Linked DNA regions of Macaca fascicularis. The protein of the gene in region 1 interacts with the protein of each later gene in a pairwise test. Links are inferred from orthologs where the notes say so. Each region holds a gene or a part of one and is shown on either strand. Other genes may lie near its edges.

Region 1 (3,744 bases):
AATTATTTTCTCTGTGTTACACCACCAATCTGACATTAGATAGTTCATTTGTTTCCATTTGTTTTTAATTTTTATGGAGTGCTTTATTTTATTGAACTGTCTTATAAACATGTGAAATGTTTATAAGGTTCCAAAATTGTACTATATAAAAGGTATATTCATAGAAGTCTCATTCCCATCCCTATGCCCTCCATCCCATATAAGCAACTATTTTTGTAGAAGTTTGGGATTTATTCTTCCATTGTCTACCTTTTAAATATAAGTACTTAATGCGTATTTATCTCTCCATTACTCACATGTAATAGCATACTATAAACACTGTATGCACTTTGCTTATTTCACTTAATAGAGATCACTTGATATTAGTATATGTTTATTAGTATATATAAGAAATCTTCCACATCTTTTGTTTTTTGTTTTTTTTTTGAGACAGAGTCTTGCTCTGTTTTTTGGTTTTTTTTTTTGAGACAGTCTTGCTCTGTCACCCAAGCTGGAGTGCAGTGGCGTGACCTTGGCTCCCTGCAACCTCCACCTCCCAGGTTCAAGAGATTCTCCTGCTTCAGCCTCCCAAGTAGCTGGGACTATAGGCCAGTGCCACCATGCCCGCCTAATTTTTGTATTTTGAGTAGAGACAGGGTTTCACCATGTTGGCCAGGCTGGTCTCGAACTCCTGACCTCAAGTGATCTGCCCACCTCGGCCTCCCAAAGTGCTAGGATTACAGGTGCGAGCCACGCCAGGCCTCTTCCACATACTTTTTCATGGCTGCATAGTACTTCATCCTGTGTATGTACTATAATTTATTCAACCAGTTCTTTATCATTAGACATGTGAGCAGTTTCCAATCTTTTGCTATTCATTAATGCCATAATGAATAGTCCTGTACATACAGGTTTGTTGGTTTTTTGTGTGTGTGTTTGCCAGTATATTACTAGGTTAGATTCCTCGAAATCTAGTATTTGATCTAGGGCTACTGGATCAAATAATATGGCTATATATTGCCAAATTTCCTTGTTAACAGTATCACTTTGCCTTCCCACCAGCCATGAGAATGCTAGCCTTAGGTGTATTTTGATACCGTATCAGATTGAGGAGGCTGCAGAGATCAACCACAGACAAGGTTCCTGCCCCCAGGAATTCTCAGTCCTCCAGGAGGCCTACAGGCAAAAAAAAAAAAAAAAAAAAAAAAAAAATTACATAACATAATAAGCACAGGGAGCATTTACCCTGAAGCTAATGAATCTTAAGCTTCAGAGTCCTTTACTTATAGGGACCCTTTCCAATGTTCCAGGTATGTGTTCCCAGGGCCATTTTATAACCTTTCTTCTCAGGAGGACACCCCAAATTATTTAAGCTTCAGGCCCCACAAGATCTAAACCCACCTCACAGACTTAACTGTGAGCCTAAATTGGGGGTGAGAGTGGATTTCAAATCTCATCTGCAGCCAACTTGAGAGCAAGGGTTCCTATGATACTTAATGATTGAGACAAAATGAAAACGCTACTTTGATTGAGAGAGAGAGGTCCCTCCCCTGATTCGGATCAATAACCCACATAGGTAGTTAGCTGTCTTCGCAGAGCCTTCTATATATTCCCTCTACTTTTGAGGGCACGAAATAAGTCTTGGCTGACACCAGTGTTTCCAGCAAACAGCTGAAGACTTGACACTTGGATGGCACTCAGGACAAAAATCTTAACAGATTACAGAATCGTTATGGGTTTTTTAGTTTGTTTTTTTTTTAAGGGGAGGGGGTGTTACACTAGGAGTGGGTATTCAAGGTAGACACATCCCAAAATAGACACTTCAGTGAAAAGAGGCAGGTGTTTCCTCACCTGTAAAAACAGGATAATAAAACCTCGCCTTGTGGGGTCTGGTTAGGATTAAGCAAGATCATTTATATAAAGACCTAACCCAGTGCCAGACTCTCGGGAGAAGGGGAATAAATGGAGGGCAGAAAATAAAATGGGTTGATCTTTGAGCACAGCGACAGGGATTCTTTGTACATCGTGCCTTATAGAGCGAGCGCTATATAAGGAGGAGGAATCATCACCCTGCTGAGAAGTAAGTAATGGGTGCAGAAAAAATCGGGGAAGAAGGAATGGACGTTTCTGGCAGATGCTTACTGATCTAACAACTGGATGACTGAGAGATGCGGGCCTGAGTGACCCCGGGCTGGCTGTGGGGCCGACAGCGTGAGGGATCTGACTGACAGCGTGTGGCAGCCGAGCGACTGCGGCAGCGGCGGGGCCCCCATTGACTGTCCCGCCCCGAGAGCGGCCGGAGCGCGGTGGATCCTGGCTCATACCGAGGCTTCTCCTGCGCGCCGACTGCAGGCCAACCCTCCACCAGGAGCCTCCGGGGGGCGCCACGAGCACCGCAGCCAGGTGCAGGCGCCGCCGTCCCCTCACTCCCCACGCCGAGGTGGCCCTGGCTCCCTGCGGCCGCGGCCGGGGAACAATGAGGCGCCGGCTTCTTTAAGGGAGATACCACCGCGCCGGCGGGGCAGGGGACGGCGTCCTCCCAGATGATCGCACCCAGCCCCGCGTTGCCGCCGCCGCCGCCGTCTCGGTAACTGCACTGCCCGCAAACATGGCTCAGTGACTCGAACAAAAGCTGCAGTCTCCCTCCCGGCGGGGCGGACGCCAGGCCTCTTTGGTCGGGCCGCACCTCCCGGCGGGCCCGCCAAAGAGCACAGCGCCCCGCAAGCACCCGAGACCCGCGAGGAAGATGCACCGGGCGTTCCACCCCAGCGAGCCCCGCACCCCAGCCCGCAGCTCGGTAGGTCGGAAGAGGGGCGGGTAGGGGGAGGGGAGGCCGCGGCCGGGCGCGCGCAGCCCCAGGCCGGGACCTGCCGCTGCAGACCGTCCCTGGGGCCGCGGGCCCTGAGCGCCCGCTGCAGCTGGAGGGTGGCCGAGCCCCGGCGTGGCGTGGCCTCGCGGTTCCAGGGCCCGGCCACCCCTGTGGGGAGCAGCAGCAGTGGTGCGCTCCGGAGCGCGCACACCTCCGACGACTCCGGGCTCTGCAAATCCTCTGGAGAGGGAGGAGGCTAGCGGACCGCCGGCCGCGCGCTTCGTCGGTGGCGCGGAACGTCCCGGCTCGCGCTACGGAAAGCCGGAGGGGGGCGGGGCCGTCGGCGTAAGGGGGTGTGTCCGCGCGCACCACGGGGGCGCGCGCCGGCTGCTGACTGGAGGCGGCGGCAGCGGAGGCGCGAGCTGCCGGATAATGGCGGCCTGCAGAGCCCATGAGAGGGAGAAGCGGCGGCGTCTACCCTGAGGTAAATCTGGCCCTTCGGCGTGGCGGAGAGGCCCTGCTGCAGAGCCGACGGCCCTGCATGTGTCTCCCTCCCTGGGACGCCTGTCACAGACCTGTCAGCGGAGTCATCCCGGGGAAGGCCCCGCGCTCCTCAGGCCACCGGCCCCAGCCGCGGCCTCCTCTCACACTGGGGCCACCTCCCCCCAGCCCTCAGCCCCCAGCCCCGAGGAGTTGAGGCAACTGTTGGGCTGGCTCCTGTGAGCAAAGGGGCTCGGGAGGCTCCCCTCCGGGCTTCATCTGAGCACGGCCGAGGAGGGGGAGGGCCTGACACTTGGCCAATGAGCGCGGCCTGAGTGGCCGCGTCGGGCAACACCTCTGGCCGGGACTAGCCCTTCCCGGGTGCCAGCAGGTGTCTGGCCTGGCCGGCCCGCGTCCCAGCGCCTGGTTAGAGCAGTGGGAGCGAGGGCCCGCCACTTTCGGTCGAAAGTCACTTA
Region 2 (3,568 bases), on another chromosome or scaffold:
CCCAGGCTGGAGTGCGATGGCACGATCTTGGCTCACTGCAACCTCCGCCTCCCGGTTCAAGCGATTCTCCTGCCTCAAGCCTCCCAAATAGCTGGGATTACAGGTGCCCACCACAATACCTGGCTAATTTTTTTTTTTTTTTTTTTTGAGACGGAGTCTCGCTCTGTCGCCCAGGCTGGAGTGCAGTGGCCGGATCTCAGCTCACTGCAAGCTCCGCCTCCTGGGTTCCCGCCATTCTCCTGCCTCAGCCTCCCGAGTAGCTGGGACTACAAGCGCCCACCACCTCGCCCGGCTAATTTTTTTGTTTTGTTTTTTTTTTTAGTAGAGACAGGGTTTCACCATGTTAGCCAGGATGGTCTCGATCTCCTGACCTCGTGATCCGCCCATCTCGGCCTCCCAAAGTGCTGGGATTACAGGCTTGAGCCACCGTGCCTGGCCAATTATTTTTGTATTTTTAGTAGAGACAGGATTTCACCATGTTGGCCACGCTGGTCTCAAACTCCTGACCCCAGGTAATCTGCCCCCCTCAGCCTCCCAAAGTGCTGGAATTACAGGCATGAGCCACTGCGCCCAGCCCCATTCCCCTATTTTTATTTATGTTTTAGAGACGGTCTTGCTCTGTTGCCCAGGCTGGAATACGGTGGTGCAATCACAGCTCACTGCAGCCTCCAAATCCTGGGCTCAAACAATCCTCCTTCCCCAGCCTCCTGAGTCGCTGGAATCACAGGTGTGTGCCACTGTGCCCGACTAATTTTTAAAAATTTTTTGTAGGGATGCGGGGGACTTCATTTTGTTACTTAGGCTGGTCTTGAACTCCTATCCTCAAGCGATCCTCCCACCTGTCACTATGCAGGCAGAGGGCACAGTGTGTGCAAAGGCTCGGGGTATAAAAGCACGGTGTGGCTAGAGAACCATGAAATACTGTGTGTCTGTCAGTGGGGAAGGGAAATGCTGCAGAGCTCGGCTGGAGCCAGATGGGGAAGGCTTTGAATGCAGGCTAGTTGCTTTGACTTGTCTTAAGGGTAGTGGGGAGTTGAGGAAAGATTCTGAGCAGAGGAGGGGCGGGGTTAGCGCTGGTGTTAAAGGTCTCTCTGGAGTCATGGAGGAGGATGAGCCACAAGCTGGAGGCAAGGAGGCCAGAGAGGAGGCTGGGGTGATGGTAAAGGCGCGAGGGGAAGAGGGACCATTGGGTGGAAAGAAGGAAACAGACTGGCTGGCCATGGTGGCTTGTGCCTGTAATCCCAGCACTCTGGGAGGCTGAGGTGGGAGAATTGCTTGAGGATAGGAGTTCGAGACCAGCCTGAGCAACATAGCAAGACCTCAGCTCTACAAAAAGGAAAAAAAAAAAAATAGCCAGGTGTGGTGACACATGCCTGTGGTCCCGGCTACTCGGGAGGCTGAGATGGGAGGATTGCTTGAAGCCATGATGTCCAGGCAGTGAGCCAGGATTGGGTCACTGCAATCCAGTCTGGGTAATAGAGTGGAGACTATGACGATGATGAAGGAGGAGAAGACGAAGGGGAAGGGGAAAGGGAAAAAGAGGAAGAGGAGGAGGAGGCGGAAGGAGGGAGAGGAGGTGAAGGGAGGAAGGAGAGGGGAAGGGGCAGGAGGGGGAGGGAGGAGGGGGAGGGAGGAGGGGGAGGGAGGAGGAGCAGAAGGAGGTAGAGAAATGTTGACTGCTGTTTCAATTTCCTCCCTCCATCTCTGCCTTTCTCACACCCTATCTCTGGGGATAGAGGGAATATTTAGGAAGATGTATGGTTGGGGCCCCCCACCCTGTAGGGTCTCACCTTGGTTTGGGGCGCTCCTCTTCTGTTGGTGGTGGGGGATACAAAGAGATAATTAGCAAGAGTTTAGAGGAGAGGGACTAGGCCTGACACACCCTGGGGAGGGACCCCCCAAGCCTCGGCCCCCAGGAGCCCAGGGAAGGACTCCGGAGTCCAGTTCCAGAGGAGGGGCATGGGAAGAAGAAAAGAGGGAAGGAAAGTCAGGGAGGCTGTAAAGGAGGAAGAGGGTCACACGCATCAGATATACATTCAGAACTGGTGTGGGGACCCCCCACCGCCGCTGTCTGCATTCCCAGGAGTGCAAACCCCCAGACCCTTCTCTATTTATATGCCCAGAGCGCCTGCCCTCCTCCATTAAGACCCAGCAGTGCGGGGAGGGCCAACCTCTGTCTTTATTCAGTGACCCCAGAGCTCTCTCCCCAGCTGGCCCTCCACCCCCACCTTGGAGACCCTGACTCCCAGGGCTGGCCTCCTCTGCAATCCTAAATTCCAAGCCCCAACCTTTGAATGTATATGGGGGAGAAAATAACAGGCAAGGTCGGAGGCGAAGATGAGGGTGACGGGGTGGTGCTTCTCCGCAAACATCCAACCCTTCTATAAAGATTCCTCCAGACTGGGGAAGAAGGCTTGGGTGTCGGTCCCTTTAAGAAGGAAGGGAACGGGTTAAAGCCACGGCAGGGCCATTTCCCTTCCCGGCCCCGAGAGGGCGCAGGAGCTCTCAGAGGCTTAAAGGACCGGGCCTGGGGGCGGGTTATGGGGGCGGAGGGAGGGAAGGGTGGTCGTGGAGGTTGGAGCCCGAGGATATCGGGGGTCCCCCCGGGCCCCCGACATCGGTCTCGGGAAGCGAAGCAGCCGCGGTTACCTGGCTCTGCCACCGGCTCCGGCTCTTCGGGGGCTGGGGAGGGGCGGGAGGAGCAGCGAGGGTGTGGGGAGCGAGGGGGGAGCGGCCACGCCCGGGCGCGGCGGGGGAGAGAGGGAGAGACGGGAGAGGCTGTTAGAGGACCTGGAGCCGAGGCCGTCGGGAGCCCCGTCCCGCCCCCTCCTCCCGGGCCCAGCGTCCCCGCCCCCAGCCCCCCGCCCCCAGCTCCAGACCTGCGGAGTCCGGGACCTCACCTTCCTCCTCCTCCGCAGCCTCCTCTGGAGATGGGGGCACAGAAGAGAAAACGTTAGGAGCTCGGGCAGGGGTGCGGGGAGTGGCCAGAGACCAAGGTTCCAGCCTCTGCTGGACCGGGGGTCCCTCTGGCCTCGGCTGCGTTGGGCATGTGCCCCCTGGCGGTGCAGGGATGGCACGGGGAGACGCTCCAGACCCGGAGAGGGCGGGCGAGGGCCCGAGGGCTGAGCTGCCCCTTCCCCGCCAGGGTGACACAAGCCTCGCCTCCCGTCCCAAGAGTTCCTGGGGGTGTCTCCATCCCAAGGGGCCGGCCCACTCCCTACTCACCTTCCGGCTGCTCCCTGCGGACGGGTGTGGGGAAAGAGGGAGGGGAGAGTTAGACCTGGGGTGGGAGAGCCTCTCCACCATTGCACGCCCCAACCCCTCCCAGTGCGGCACTCACTCCTCATATTCCTGCTCCTCGGTGTCCGACATCCTGGTGCGGCCTAAGAAACAGAGAGAAGAGGCCCAGTGGGGTGGGGCCCCAAGGAGGGGGCGACCTAGACTCCTGGGTCTGAGGGAGGAGGGGCTGGGGGCTGGACTCCTGGGTCTGGACTCCTGGGTCTGAGGGAGGAGGGGCTGGGGGTCTGGACTCCTGGGTCTGGACTCCTGGGTCTGAGGGAGGAGGGGC

The links.
Region 2: the proteins of TRIM63 (region 1) and TNNT1 interact in a two-hybrid assay, tested with the Homo sapiens proteins (2 studies listed by BioGRID and IntAct). The link is inferred for Macaca fascicularis from reciprocal best matches to the Homo sapiens genes TRIM63 and TNNT1.

Annotation. Positions count from the first base shown.
Region 1 is NC_088375.1:209,028,563-209,032,306, reverse strand, and holds the start of TRIM63 (E3 ubiquitin-protein ligase TRIM63), read right to left. Parts: upstream 2,304-3,744; 5' UTR 2,122-2,303; intron 1,156-2,121; coding exon of another isoform or gene 1,104-1,155; 5' UTR 1,077-1,103; intron 1-1,076. UniProt on the Homo sapiens protein: E3 ubiquitin ligase. Mediates the ubiquitination and subsequent proteasomal degradation of CKM, GMEB1 and HIBADH.
Region 2 is NC_088393.1:63,015,647-63,019,214, forward strand, and holds part of TNNT1 (troponin T, slow skeletal muscle), read right to left. Parts: intron 3,384-3,568; 5' UTR 3,373-3,383; coding exon 3,341-3,372; intron 3,240-3,340; coding exon 3,226-3,239; intron 2,925-3,225; coding exon 2,901-2,924; intron 2,683-2,900; coding exon 2,650-2,682; intron 1,813-2,649; coding exon 1,791-1,812; intron 1-1,790. UniProt on the Homo sapiens protein: Troponin T is the tropomyosin-binding subunit of troponin, the thin filament regulatory complex which confers calcium-sensitivity to striated muscle actomyosin ATPase activity.